Struthio camelus: one gene and its partner. The protein of the gene in region 2 interacts with the protein of the main gene of each other region in a pairwise test. Links are inferred from orthologs where the notes say so. Each region holds a gene or a part of one and is shown on either strand. Other genes may lie near its edges.

Region 1 (7,716 bases), on a different chromosome or scaffold from region 2:
CTGCTGGAGCTGTGATGGGTTTTGTATGCAGGGCTGGTACGCGCACATGTCTGCTTTGTGCTGGTATAGGCACGGCACTGTTTTCACGGCAGCCTGTTCAGGATGGGTGGAAAAATAGATCCTATTTTTTGTGTTACGACTTACTTTCACAGTTGGTGAGTGCTGCTGAAGGGCCCATTGCAGCTGGGAAGAGGCCATTCAGTATTTCTCACAGCTGAGCCTGAGGCACTTCAAAGCTGGGAATGTTATGCTGTTGGTGCCCCTTAGAAAAGGACGCCCATGTTCAGCCATTGGCTTTCTCCGGTGTGTGTAAGTGCTAGCTGGGAAACAGGTTAGCAGCTGCAGCCTGATTTCTGAAGTCCGAGTCCTGAAGTTCAGTGCAGCTCTCTGTACTGGACTGCAGCAAAGGAAAGAGCTTGCCCTTGAGAAGGTTTGTGAAATCTGGGGTCAGGGTTACAGCCTGGCTTGCAAGCAGTGGCTGAGTACTGTGCAAGTGCAGGGCTCTCTGCTCTGTTACTCTCCCCTCTGCTTTTTGTGCTCTTCATCTAAGTAATGCTGAGATGCATTCTCTTATCCTGCTAGTACGTATTGGAAGTCTGCAGCGGCATAATGAGAGAAAACCTGTTCTGGCTGTGCGACTAAGGCATTTGTAAATGGTCTTGCTGAATGTTGTTGGCACTTAACACTCTTTAGTTTTTCCATTTGGATCTAAATTGATTCAGTAAACTGGATGCAGTTTGGTGTAAGCAGGTCTGATTGACTTGGAAACTTCACCCTATTACACCATGTTCAAATGATATGCTCAGGCAGCCAGCCTCATTCAACGGGCTTTAATGTATGAATATAAATTGAATGCATGATTTGAAGTGTGTGGGGGGAAGCTCTTAACATCTGTGAAAGATGGAAAAACACAGTATATTGCGTGGAGCCTGATTTCAGTGCTCCAGTACACAAAGCTCGGGGAGCTGCTGGTATCCTCCAGAACTCTGGGGATGCCTGCAGTATTCAGCACGGTAGCCCCTTACATCCTGACCCTGAAATAACAGCCAAGCTCTCGTCGTACTTAGCTGCGCAGGCTCGGAGTGCTTCAGTTCTGGTCCTGTTCTGGACACACTGCCTGTCCTGTTTATTTGCAGCTCCACAGTATAACCCTAAAGCTGCTGAATTTGTGGTTGCCTGTAGGCTGCTGCTTTTCCTCTCTGTTTTTTTTTTTTTCTTTGTCTAAGTGTGTTCCTCATAGCAGAACATGACCATTCTTGATTGGCTTAATTTCCTCATTTGGGTTAACTTCTGTATTTCTCACACAGGCCTTATTGAAACCAATGCTCGTTGTCTTTTTGCTTTCTATCCCAGCAACACTGGGCTTCTGTGCTCAAATGGAAAAAAGTGCAATGTGCTGTTGGGGCTGCTGATCATCTGAAATAAGGCCTGGTTGGAAGATATGTGTGTTGCTCTGGCAATGCAAGAACTAGCCGAGTTCTACAAAGCCCTGTGTAAGTGTAGCCATTTTTACTTTTTAGGTAAGAGGATTTTGTTAGAAACTGTTTTCACCCCCACCCCATCCCCCGAAAAACCGGAAGAGCTGAGGTGAACACACCCTTCTACGATCCAAATCGAGAACAAATTTAGACTGAAATCAGGTGTTGTCCACACCCAGAGATCTGGCTCCAGAGTTGATCCCTACTCTGGAGACAAGCCTGTTAGAAAGGAAGCTCAGGATTAATGGAAACCAGTTCTGAAAAACCACAGAAACAGATGCATCTGAACCAACCTGCAGTTAGTCTTTTGCCTGCTCAAGAGCAGATTGCTGAGGGACCACTGTTTAGCAAGTTGTGAAACATGAAAGGATTCTTTTAGTATGTATATATAAAGTATTCCTATTTTTAATACCTTCCCTGTTTGTAGAATTTGGGAAGCAGAGATCTGATTCTTACCCTGTCAGAATACTGACTCTTGGACCTTAAGAAGAGCAGGTGATGCATTTTCAGATGGGTTTCCCCCTTCTACCTTACTAATGTAGCCTAAGGCTTTCTTTCCCTTTTTCTACCTTTGCAATGTGTGCTTTCGTGACATTAGTTCTGAACTTTATACTCTTCACCCTCCTGACTTGACTTCTCACAAATCTAATTTGGCCAAGGTATTGTCCAAAAAAACCTCAAACAAACCAGCACCACCCCCATCCCCCCCCCCCCCAAACCCTCCTGTACTGAAGTCTTAGCCTAGGGACTTCTGAAGTATTTGCTCCTGCTCACCTGATTTCTCTGCTTGATGTTGAGGAATAGATTTGATATTTCCTTCCATTAACACTTAAGCTTATATGTGAGAAAGGTCCTAGGTCTCTTCAGGTGTCACACAACTATCTAGTTCCCTAAGAAAGGATTTTTGCCAGAAGGAGAATCAACCACTTTTGGTCTCCTCTGTAAGACGTAGGGACCCAGAGGTGATTAAAAGCTGTCATGCTGCTGGGATGATGCTGTATGTACAATTTTATAAGGTCTAGCGTGGGTGTGTGAGAGGGGGGAAATAAGTCAGGGGAGAATCTAACTTAAATTTTCGGAATATTGAAGGATGAAAACTTTCCACCAGTTGCACTCAAATGCATGCCTACTTTACATCTGACTGCAAATGAAAAAATACTGGTTTACTCTTTTTATTAAAGGAAAAAGACTGTCTTAATTATTTATAGTTCCTATAACTGAATTGACAGATGTCAACTTAACTGATAAATTATATTTGGTTAAATAAAGATGACATTTATTTATGTGGATTGCGGTGTGTTTTCTCCATGCGGTCCTCGCATGTGAAGGTATCGGTCATACCACCTTATTGTCACATCTCCTGTCTGCTACTTTAGAAATATTTTAAAACACTTAACCTCCTGGGGAGCCTGATTCTTGTCTGGTTTTTGTGCGGGAAAGTTTCATCGGCCTTAGGGGAGAGAGACCACTGCAATGTGAGGATGTGGTTAATTTGCTAATGTTTCCCAAGATGTGATGCAGAGGACCCAGCAGCTGCTGAGAAAGGGCTGATCAGACCCTTGTGCCTGTAGAGACCCAACCTTTGCTAAAATGGATGAGCTTTCTATTTTTCTGGTCGTGATGCTAGAACGGGGCGAAATGACTGCCAGTGGCATGGGAGTGCCTGGGGAAGGCCGTGAGCCTGAAGCAGACGGTGCTGAAGGGCTCAGCGCGTCCTCGCCGCACCTCTCAGCAGAGACGGGAGCGACTCCCTGCTGCGGGGGCTCCAGCAGGCGCGTGTTTGCATGCAGGCGAAGGTCACTTTCCTACTTGTGTTGGCATTAATGGACTGTGGCAGTGGCTCATTCAAGTGGTGCCTCTGGCTTAATAATTGATTTGAAACATGTTATGTTGCCTGAATTAATAACAGATTGTCTTGTGTATTCACTGCATGAATCTGCAGTGCAGCCACTCTGTGGTTGAAGGTCTCTCTCTCTACTCTCAATTTTCTGATATGTAGTGGAATGAGTTATGAAAACAAAATAAAAATTTTGTGCATCAGGTAAAAACATGATTAGTGAAAATGATAAGATTATGGCCTGCCAGATTTTAGCCAGGCCAGCTTCTAGTTTGCCTTTGGGTAGACCCAGGTAGCTACACGAGTTCCCAGCAGAACAGGCAAAGGTTTGTTTTTCAGCCCCTTCCCTGGCTTTGCAGCTGCAATGCCTGCAGCGAGGGCCTGTTATCTGTCCTCCCTCTGCCTGTGGCTGTTTTAGGGGTGCAGCGCATAGCGGTCCTGCGTGTTTGCTGGGGGAGGCCGAGAAGCCTCCCGAACACGCAGCAGCCGGGTGCCTTGCCAGGGCTCTGCGTTTGCTGCTGTAGGATTTGCGTTATCCTGTGGCCTGTTTTCCTGTACGGCTGTGCCTCCTCGCTGCTCGCCTGAACGAGGAGCGCGGTGGGTAGTCCTGCGGCAAACCTACAGCAGTGCTGAAGAGTAGGCAACAACCAGCAAGGCCTTGCTGGCTATAAATCTCTGAACCTGTGTCCTGTTGCCTGAAGCTTCACGTCATTTCCCCCTGCACTAAATACCAGTGTACCATGGCGGGGGGCGGGGGGGGTTCATTCTATGACTTGGTGTTGATTGGGGGGGTAGATTGTTTTGGTTGGGCTAAAAAGCAGGAGGGGAAGGGGGAATGGGTTTTGCAAGGAGAACCATTTTGCCCTTAACTTGATCCTACCTTGATGGAATCCCAACAACTGTAGCTTTACTTAAAACAAGGCACCCCACATATATACATGCATATACACATTGTGGTTTGGCTTTACTTGCTTTCTAGCTTTTGAATCCCCAAACTACTTCAGATCTTTTTCTCTGCCATGGTAGAGCTTGCAATATAATTCTTGCAAGCGCAGTTGAGCAGTCCCACAGGTCCGAATGCCGGGGTGCTGAGTGAAGCGTGGCCGCGCGTGCCCGGCGTCCTGGCCTGTCTCTCCCGGTCCCGAGCTGGCTCTGGCTGAGCGGATCGAAACCTTCCCGTCAGCAAGGAGGGGGGCGGGTGCGTCACCTTTTACCCTGCAAGCTTTTCTTCCCGAACCGCTGCAGCGCAGCAGCGTATCCCGCCCCCGTCTCCAGCATTTCGATGTAGCCCCACCTCACCCTCATCGTCTCCTCTGCCCTTTTTGAAAGATTTCCTTGCGGAGGGACTTGCACCGCCCTCAGCACGGGCGGGGTGAGCGCCCGGCCCCGGCTCGGGGGCGGCGGCCGCGGACTACACGTCCCGGCAGCCCCGCGCCGGCGGCGGCTCCGCCGCTCCAGCCACCTGACCGTCACGTGAGCGGGCCGAGCCGAGCCGAGCCGAGCCGGGCCGAGCCGGGCCGGGCCGGGCGGCGGCATGGGGCACCGCGACCGCATGTTCAAGGTGCTGGTGGTGGGCGACGCCACGGTGGGGAAGACGTCGCTGGTGCAGCGCTACGCCAACGACAGCTTCAACCGGCACTACAAGTCCACGGTGGGAGGTGAGCGGGCGGCGCGCTGCCCCGCCGGGGCCGCAGCGGACCCCGCAGCGCGGCGGGCGGGCGGGCTCGGGGCCGGCAGCGCCGCTCTCCGCCGGCCGCCAGGGGCTGCCGGCTTCTCGCCGCCCCCGCCGGGAGGGCCGGCGCGGGCTGCGCCGTGCCAGCGGGCCCCGCTCGGCCGCCGCGGCGAAAAGCTGGTGCGCGGCTTCCCTCCTGCCGCGAAGTGCAGCGGGCTCCGCGTTCAGCGTAACGTGCCTTTAGAAGCCGGTTGTTCAGAGGCTGTGACGGGAAACTTGCGCCTCTCCTTCCCTGCGGACATAAAAACCTTGCAGTAGTTTGCGAACTGAACCATCATCAGCCTGTAATTACTGTATTTTGCAACTCCTGTAGTGGCTCTCAGGTGCGGCTCCGGCTGCGCTTGCAGCCCCTGTTTAAGGAGGCCCCTGCTGACAGATGAACGAGCAGCTGTGCTAATTCTTGCCGGAGGGATGTGGGTGCCCCGTCCCTCCCGCCTCGCGAACAAACGCCCTGCCGAGCCCTCACCTGGAGGGCCCGGACTGTAGCCTCGGATCTTTCCGGTGAAAATCAAAGCAGCATTGCTTTGAGGCTTACTTTAGTAGTGATTTCATGTTGCTGAATACGAGTCGTGCTGTAAAATGGTGCGTTTGGAAAGAAGATGGGGAAACAACAGCTTTAAGACAAGGGGGCTTGGAACAAGACTTAAGTGGAGTATGTTTTTCTTTCTTTGGCACCAGTGTAAGTGAATGATCTAAAAAGAGCAGGCGGTGCCAAGGCTTTACTCAGCAAATCTCTTTGAGGATCCACAGCACTGGAGGAAGAGCGTGGCTGTTTAAATCTCACTCACAAAATCAGAGGGAATAAATCAATCAGAAATTGAAAACACCGGAAGGCCATATCCTGTTGGAGCAGCAAGATACAAAGTGCTTGGAGTTGTGCCTGCACAGTCATTCGCAGCAGTAAGAGAGCTGCAATCTTTTTTTTTCACTCTTTTAAAACGTGTTCCTAGCTTCAGCAGGCCTGCTGAGCACAGATGACAGCTTAGCTGGACAATTTTCCTCCTGCAATGAAAACTTGATGTATCATAGTCTTCTGAAAAAAATGCGGTGTTTTCCTTTCCTACTCCCTGGGCATTTGTTGCAGTGGAGTTGTAGATGGTGGGAAGTGGTAAATGTGAAAGGAAACACTGTGCTCCATGTACCAGTGGCTAAACCGTTTAGGTAGTGCAGAACAAAGACAGGCGACAACAGCAAATCCAGCATTTCATTTAGCATTTTTTTTGAGTTTCCACTAGGATTATGAGTTTTAAAAGGAGGCATGGAGCATGATTAGCTCTGACCTTTTTACTTAAAACTCCTCCTTTGTGCGTTATTGACCTTAACTGAGAAGATCCAGTTCTTTGGCCTACTGTTTAAACTGTGGATTAAAAGTACAAAAGGCACGATCCAAACAGCACTTGACTGAAACAGAGTTGGGTGAGGGAAGGTTTCCTTACAGCTCTCCAAGCGATAAGGCTTCCAGTATCCTTTTGTTTGCATTGTGGTTATTCAGGCTTATGTGCTGGAGGAATTCTTATTTCCTGAACTTTTTTTTCCTTCTGGCCTTAGCTCTTGGTTAGTGTCACTACAGTGTCGGTGTTATAACCGCAGGGATCAAGAATGGGTATCTCCTGCAGACAGGAAGCTGTGGGTGGGATCTTTACAAACCTTGGTGGTGGGCAACGTCCAATTCCAAAAAAGCCCTGTGTTTTGGGGTAGTGCAGTGGCTGCCTGGTGCTGCGTTTGTTGGAAAATTCCACATTGCTCTGCTGCCATTTGTGAGGACTTTGACAGCAGATGGGCTAGGCTTTGCAAGGCAGGGAATACTGCTCCATTGTGTTATTTAGCACCACCCAAAGCGCTCCTAATCCAAAGTTCAGGAAGGGAAGAGCGAAGTGTAGCATCCTTGTGCGAGGATGGGATGCTGATAATGCCCTTGATTTCTTCTTTTCTGAAGGTATTTTGTGTGCCTGTGATAATTCTGTCTGAGCACCCGGGGTTCGTAGCAGACAATGCGTGGAGCCTTCTGGATTTAACACCTATTTTGCAGTGGTCTGTGATGGAGGAGAGGGAGACAGCGCTTGCAGACCCTCCTGGCCCCTGTCTGTGCTGTGTGTGGGTGGTGGTCCAGTACAAATTGCCATTGCTGTGAAAGCAGTGGCTGTGAAGCCTTATGACTGGTCCTCTGGAGAGATGTTGAGAGGTTGTAGGGGAACAAGTCCAATATTGTGAATGTCTCTAATTGGGTCTCCTTTCTTTTGGGGGATTTTCTAGTGGATTTTGCTCTGAAGGTGGTGCAGTGGTCAGAATCGGAGACAGTACGACTCCAGCTCTGGGACATTGCAGGTATGTTCAGATGAACCACGAATCGGTTCAGAAGCAGAATTTAAAGCTCTCTGAATTGCTTGGCCCTCCTTTCTTCTCCCTCCCCCCACAAAGGAGTCTGATATGAAAATAAATCCCCAAAATCTGTGAAATCAAGGAGCAAAATTGTTCTGCTTTGCAGTGTTCTTTCTAGTTTGCAGTGGTAATTTAAATATTTAATCAAAAGCCCATCTGCAAAGAACACAACAGCACAAATGATAAATTCCACGGAGCCTTTCTTTTCAATTTCAAAGCCAGAGCAGACTGAATGGGGAGACCAAGTGATTTGTAACTGGATATATAACTTCTCAGCTCTAAGTCCTCTG
Region 2 (7,600 bases):
AGCAAAAAACTTTATGAATCTTATTTCTATAAAATCCCTTGACCTTTAAAGACAATGTCCTATCCATTTGTGTAGGTTTTACCTGAAGAGGTAAACTATTACTACTGCATTATTAGAGAAAGATGATTGGTTTATTTCTACTAAACCTCTGTGCTGCACATGAACTAGGCAAACAGTACAGAGCTTGAGAAGGCTCAGATTAAGATAAGCACAGGGTGGTCTTCTTCTGTAACGAGGTGTCTTCTGAGGAATTAAAAATACGCAAATATGGATTTGATAATATAATGTCATTGTGTTTTTGGCTGACCTTTTTAATTAAGATATCTTATTTAATTTTAGGGAATGTGTGTAGAGCGTTTTATCATAATTCATAAATATAATTATTAAATCGTAAATTCAATTGGAAGTTTTTACGGCTTTGCAAATGACTCATAAATGAATCATCCTGCTTCATCTCCATTGATTTTTACATCTTACATAACAGAATCCTAACTTCACTTTCAGGTTTTCCTATAACGTACATAAATAATAGCATGTGAAGCTCTTATTCTCCATTCTTTCAGATCTCGCCTCAAAATTTCTCTCTGCTACAATGCCTAAAATAATAGATTGTCAGTTAAGATGGATAGTTCTTTCTTTTAGTTCAATGTTTTTCTCCTTTTACTATGGTTTGCTTGTCAGGTGTCTTAAAATAACCATGTTTTATTATCACACCGGCAATAGTATTAGCTGTCATGTATGAGGTAGAGCTCAGCTAGTAAATGCGTGGGAGGCCTCCAAAAACACAACCCACCACCAAAACCCAAAAAGCTAAGTCCACCACAAGAAACACTGTTAGCTAACTGTTTTAAGATAGGAAAAGACTCTGGAGACTCAAAGTGTAAACAAGAAAAGCAATAAACAGTTTCCTTGTGTTTCTTGTGAAATTGGCTTACATTAATTGCACAGAAATCAGAACTGGAACAGCGCTGAAGATTTCCCACAGCCTAGTTCTCTGTAAGTCTTAGCTGTAACAGCAGTAGCATTTCCAACTACAGTAGCATTTCCAACTGCCTTCTGGAAAAAAAAAAAGAAAGAAAGAAAAGTTAAGTTCTTCCTTCCAATATGTTCAGGCTTTATTGCAGCTACTTTAGCAATAATTGTTAACATTCTAAGCAAATAAAATGTTTTATTCCAAAAAAAGGTAATAGGAGCCAGACGAAATAAGTCAGCCTGTTTAAAACAAAGCATTTCCTCTGGAATTTGTTGCTTGATATCTAGTCCTGTTTATTATTCTATATACTACCCTTTCTGAAAGAGGAACTGCTGTTCAGCAGACCTTTAACTAATAAAAGGGAAAATATTTCAGATCAATTTTGATAGCATCATGTAGAACGGTGAACATAAAAACAGTCAAGATAATTAACACAGTGAGGGTAAAGTATGTGGGAGCGAAGGAGAACAACAATCTGATCTAAGCAAAATTGCTGAGAACACATACAAAACTGATACAGCATGGAGTTTCCCAGTCCATGCATTATAACATCATAATGAAATTATCTCTCATAAAATACTTCAAATTATACCACTGAGTATTTTCAAAACTTGTGGGCACAGGATATAAATTGGTCCAATTTACCTAACGGTATGAATTCTGAAAGGCTACTTAAACCATTCTTTGAAAGTGAATTAAGCTAAATCAGATCAATGTCACTCCAATTCTGATTGAGCGTGCCCACAAAATAAATCAATGTAGTCCAGCTAATCCTCTTGAAAGGCTGATTTGGATTCCTAAATGTCCCTGGGACAAAACCCGGTGATTTTAGCTAAGGAATATAAGCACCACCAGGATTCTCTCGGTAGGCAATGACCTTGGGAACCTACTCCATAGGGTTAAGTCCTAAAGTGAGGCTTATACCTCTGATGCTCTACTAAGGGGCTGTTGACAAAGACAACTACTGTTTTTCACTGTCATTCTTTCGGCTAGGTCCAAAAGAACATTAAGTCCCTGTGTGAGAGTTGCGTCTCTTGGGGAACCTTTTAAACCCATGGATGTTTTTCAGTGACCCAGAAGAGCCTTGTCAATATAAAAAAACTTTTATTAAAATGCAGTAGTCTAGGGCCCTAAGATTAATACGGGAAAACAAAGATTATAACCATGGCCAGACTGGCAGAATCTCTCCCTTTGCAGATCACAAGCTTGAGAGAACAGGTGAGTCTTCCAGTTCATCTGCTCTTTCACCTAATCCTGGCTCTGGCAAGCCCAGAAAGAAATGACAGTAAACAGGGAAAGTCAATGACTGGCTCCAGAAATGACATCTTGTTTTCATATAGTTGTCTTTGAATCATTAACAGTCAGGCGCCACTACTGCTGAAATTTATCATTTCTACAACCACAAACGGGCTTAGAGTCCAAAAGGATTCCCTCAGCTGGTTTAAGAAAACAAAAAAGTCTAATCCATAGAGAACAAAAAGTAACAAGAGAAAAATCCCAGAAAGAATGAGAAATAGAAATATTAGAGTGTACTATTTAAAATTGGACTCCTCTAAATGAGTGCTGCAGATGCTGATCAAGGAGAAGTGTTTTACAGAGACTGCACAACAAAATGAACAGTGTACAACCTGTGGAAGGCTACTAGTAGCTCTGCTTACCAGCCTTTTAGGAGAGGAAAAGCTTTTACATTTGGCTTTTCAACAGCAGCAAAACTGCCTGCCTGATGGTAAAGAACTGTGTTTACTGCTTGTGCAAACAGAGATCTTGATGTTAGTTTTAACAGCCCCAGAATTGTGCTCTGAAATCTAACGATCGCAGAGGGTCTATCAAATTCAGTGTCTCCTCTCCAACAGCAGCTAGTACCAGATACTTCATCCTAAAGTGCCAGAAACCCTAAAGTGAACAGTTATGGAATAAACTTCATGTAAGGAAAAATGTTTTCCAAATCCCCATCAGTCAGATAATTGGCTTCTCTGTGAAGTATGATAGCTCATATTCCTCCAGACTCTGTGCTCTTTTTTTTCCCCATATGCTTCAACTTGTAATAACACAATCCTGTATTTTTTTTAACTCTTTATGAAAGTCTCTACTTCCTTTCTAAAGTCTGCTGAATTCCTGGCCTCAAAAATATCTTCAGTCAATTCCTTCCACACTCTAATTGTATGTGGTATCAAAAATTTGCCTTCCTTTTAAATGTATAGCCTTTAAACACAAAGAATTTTCTGCATTACAAGACTGAACAAATATGCTGTTCTAAACTAGCTTTACTATAGGACATATCACTTATATAACATTATAATTTTCTATGTTATACCTATCTTCTTTAAAGCAATTTTATCTTTTTTCTGATCATGCCTCACATTGGAGTGTCTCATTGTCTAATTGTTTCCCAAATTATTATCGCTACCCATCTTTAGAATATTTCTACTTAAGCCATATCCTTTGAAAGACAGCACAACCCAAAGACAGCAGAGTAGTCCAAGCAAGACTTTTAAGGATAAAAACAGGGCGGTTATAACAACTTGCTTGCTCATTTTAACTGTGACTGTCCTTTGAGTAGAAGTTAAAGTTGGGTTGCCAACAGTGACAGTCTGCTCTTTCCACTACTGCAACAATGGCAGGTTATATCCATGCATAAGCAGTTTATTTCATTTCTGTTCTTTGGCTTTTGTCAGTAAAAACATAGACAACCTTTCCTCAGTCCTTCCTTTTTTTGGAAGGCATCCTGGCCTGAGCTTTTTCTAATGGTGATGCAGGAAACTGCATTCCTTTGGGAACTTGGGCCTCTTCAGCTTCTAAAGGCGGCGAGCCCAGCAGGGCTGCTTCCAGCCTCAAGAAGAGCTCTGCCTTCTCCGATCCCCAGGAACCCAGGCCATTCCCACTGAGCAGAAAGAGCCTGTAGTTCAGCACTCCCCTCCTCTTTTCTACTTTCCTGTGACCAACAAGCAATTCCTGGTGCTCCCCATAGCCCCACAGCTCTCTGGAGCACTAGGGCTGGGAAACAGCGGCCCGGCTGCAGAGCAACCACACAGACAGAAGGACTGGACTGGGGGCCCTGGTCAGTCCCTGCTCTCTGGGGTAAGGTTGCTACACAAAGTCCTTCATCAACTTATCATTCACCTTCAAATACGGCTCTTTCCCTCACAGTTGCTGTTCCAAAGTTTCCAGCACCTCTCTGGTGTTAGGCGCCTTCTGATTTTCAACTTAAATTTAACCTGAAAGGGTATTTACATGTTTTTCCTCGTGCCACTGTGGCTCTTCAGCTTCACCAACTCTGTTTCCCCTGCGTGTCCCTTGTCCCTGTATCGCCATGTCCCCTCACGGCCCCTGCCCTGCGGCCAGGCCGCCGTGTCGCCTCACGGCCCCTGCCCCTGGCCAGGCCGCCATGTCGGCACGCTTCTCGGGACAACTTCCCCACGAGGTCACGCGTGACTTCCCAGACTTGCTCGCAGCCCCTGACCTGTGCTGACCTCCGGGCTGCAGAAGGCTGCCGAGGCCCTAGGCTCAGTCCGGGGGTTGGGGGGGCCAGGGGAAAGGCCGGGCCGGGCCGGGCTCGTCACCCCGCCTGAGCGGCTGGCGGCCCGGAACCTTCGTGGCGCGGGCGCGTGTTCCCAGCCGGGGCGAGCGGTCGAGCAACACCCGGCCCTGCGCGCGGCGAGAGCGTCGGGCGCCTTGGAAACGGACGGAAGCCGGGAGGGCGGCGGCGGGAGGATGCTGAGCGCCGAGCGGCTGTCGCTGCCGGGGCCCGAGTACCTGGGTGAGGAGCGGGCCGCGGCCGGGCAGCTCGGAGGGGCTGGGGGTGGCTCCGTGTCCGCCGGGAGGGCTGCGGGGCGGCGAGCTGCGGGGCCGGGAAGGCGGAGCCGGCCTCGGGGCGTGCGCTGGGGTCTCCCCCGCGCTCTGTTAGCCCTGCGTGAGCAGTGGTCAGCGGTGTCCTGCTGCTGTGGGGCAGGAAGGCAGGCTGTAACCTCGTTTAGCCCATTAGGTTTCATCTTCTGCCGTGCTCGCAGATCCAACCTTATTTTTACGCTCCTTTCTCTACATCGGAGTAGATGGCAGCTGGTCTTACGTTGTGAGATGGTTTGAATGGCAGCTTTTCTCCTGAAATAAAGTAGTATTGGTAATGCTTCCTACAGATCTCCTTGTGTTGCCTAACGTGGAGTTTTGTTTTTTTTTTTTTTTTAACTTCTGAAGCAACGGCTGCCTAATGGACTGTTTCTTTTTAGACGGGCTCTCACACAGTTTGTGTTACTGCTAGGTGCTCTAGTGAAATAAGGAAAAGTGTTCTGGTGTTGGTGTGTTAACTGAAAACAGTTATGATGCAATAAAGTCAATATTATTTAATTTGATTGCTAAAGAGAAGACGGATTGTAAGTAATAAGCATTTTGAACATGTTCAAGTCAGCATTTTTAAAGTGAAACTCTTCAGCCATTACCTTCTAGGAACAGCAGGCTGCGTGGAAATAGATTTTATAAATGTATACATAATCCACTGTGGCTTTTTCATTCAAAGAATTGGTAGGGATTTGTTTGTGCTGCTTGTTCCAACATCATTTTGCCATCTCCGGTAAGTCAAAACGGAACAAGTGTAGAGAAATATTGCTAGCTTCCAGGAAATGGAAAACCTGTCTTGCAAGGGGGAGGCTAAAGACCTTGATTTGTTTAGCCTAGCAAAACTATGAATGAGTAGGGATGCAACTGCTCTTTTGAAGTGCGTTATGGTAATACATAGTGATGGTGGAAGAAGACATATTTAAGCAAAAGAGTTAGATAATTCCTCTTGGAGTGTAATCTCTCTGTACTTTTCCTTCTAGACTGCTTTTATGATACTTTGTGCATGCCCGCATAGCTTCAATGCTATTCTGTGTTAAGGAAACTCCAGGTAGAAAGAAGAGTTTGTTTGGTGCTCTGTCCAGGGTGATTATCTCAGGAGACTCACTTTGCTGAAGTTCTTTTTACTGATTTCAATTCTAGGCATGAAGCTAGTTCAGATATTTGAGAAGAACATCACAGTGTGCTACGAAGATAGCTTTGTGCTACTCTATCACACCATGTCAGCATTTTCAACCTACGCTTTAATGGAGAGACTCATAACTATTCCACAGAGTTGCTCTAGGCAGCAACTTGCAAAATTTCTCTTTTTAATGAGCCAACTTGGTTTTACTTTCTTTTAATTGTTTTTAATGAAATAAGTCACTTAACTTTACTTGTGTGAAACTTGTCAGTAAGGATTGAATCACTCAACACAATCTAGGAAGCATAGACCAAAAATTCTTAAAGTAGAAGAATGAATAACCAGTTTTCTGTTTTACCTAAATCTGAATTTGAGAAATGGGATTTCTAAGAGATGTGCAAAGTTGCTAGGTACAGGCAGCTGTAGTACCTTAAAGTGAGTATCCTTTTATCTCTGTTCTACATACTGCTCTACCGTTCCCTTTTCATTTTCTAAAACCTTCTAAATTATTCTGGCATTGGGATCAGAAAAAGGTGTATGTGCATGTCAGGTTGAGCAGGAACTTGTGTAAGAGCATGTTCTGTTGATCACTTAGTATGCCCTTCTGTTTAAGTTGCAGTATCCATTGTTAAGTTGCAGTATCCACAGCCTCACCTGGAGTACTGTGTCCAGTTCTGGGCTCCCCAGTACAAGAGAGACATGGCACTCCTGGAGAGAGTCCAGCGGAGGGCTACAAAGAGGGTGAGGGGACTGGAGCATCTCTCCTACGAAGAAAGGCTGCGAGAGCTCGGCCTGTTCAGTCTGGAGAAGAGAAGACTGAGAGGTGATCTGATAAATGTGTACAAGTATCTGAAGGGGGAGTGTCAAGAGGATGAGGCCAGCCTCTTCTCCATGGTGCCCAGCAACAGGACAAGAGGCAATGGGCAGAAACTGAACCACAGGAAGTTCCATCTGAACCTGAGGAAAAACTTCTTCACTGTGAGGGTGAGAGAGCATTGGAACAGGTTGCCCAGAGAGGTGGTGGAGTCTCCTTCCCTGGAGATATTCAAAAGCCATCTGGATGTGATCCTGGGCAATATGCTCTAGGTGACCCTGCTTGAGCAGGGAGGTTGGACTAGATGATCTCCAGAGGTCCCTTCCAACCTAAACCATTCTGTGATTCTGTTTAGCAGAGGAAAAACGTCCACTACATGATGTTTTCCTTAGCTGTAAACGTTAGCAAAAATATATATATTTTTTGTCTTTATGAGGCTTGGTAACTTTCCAAACTGCTCACAGAATCTGTTGTCTGAACTTTGTCTTACAAGCAGAAAAAAGGTTTAAAAAAAAGCTGTTTTCATAAAATCTTTTAATGTTTTCTCCATTGACTTGGCTTTCTGAAATCACCATTCTTTCGATGAGGTGAGATGCCCTCTCCATTTGTCCTATGGTGTGGCTCAATGTCAATGACCATTTGTCAACAATCACCATTATCTGATGTGGAATTGTAAGCAATTGGGATAAACAAGTTTCACTTTCTGCAATTTCACTCTGAAGTTGTGTTGCCCCAGGCTGCTGCATAATGTAGTCTTTGAGCGTCTCCAAAATGAAATGGCACTCCCTTTCTTCATGTGGGATAGGCAAACTTCACTTAATCTCTTTTTCCCCCCTTTCCTTTCTGAAAACCAAAAATGGAC

Evidence for each region. The genes of interacting proteins can lie anywhere in the genome.
Region 1: the proteins of CSTPP1 (region 2) and RAB29 interact in a two-hybrid assay, tested with the Homo sapiens proteins (2 studies listed by BioGRID and IntAct). The two-hybrid records come from large-scale screens. The link is inferred for Struthio camelus from reciprocal best matches to the Homo sapiens genes CSTPP1 and RAB29.

What each region holds. Positions count from the first base shown.
Region 1 is NC_090965.1:7,514,403-7,522,118, reverse strand, and holds the start of RAB29 (ras-related protein Rab-7L1), read left to right. Parts: upstream 1-4,714; 5' UTR 4,715-4,849; coding exon 4,850-4,973; intron 4,974-7,300; coding exon 7,301-7,372; intron 7,373-7,716. UniProt on the Homo sapiens protein: The small GTPases Rab are key regulators in vesicle trafficking. Essential for maintaining the integrity of the endosome-trans-Golgi network structure.
Region 2 is NC_090946.1:39,558,064-39,565,663, reverse strand, and holds the start of CSTPP1 (centriolar satellite-associated tubulin polyglutamylase complex regulator 1), read left to right. Parts: upstream 1-4,596; 5' UTR 4,597-4,684; coding exon 4,685-4,730; intron 4,731-7,600. UniProt on the Homo sapiens protein: Regulator of the tubulin polyglutamylase complex (TPGC) that controls cytoskeletal organization, nuclear shape, and cilium disassembly by balancing microtubule and actin assembly.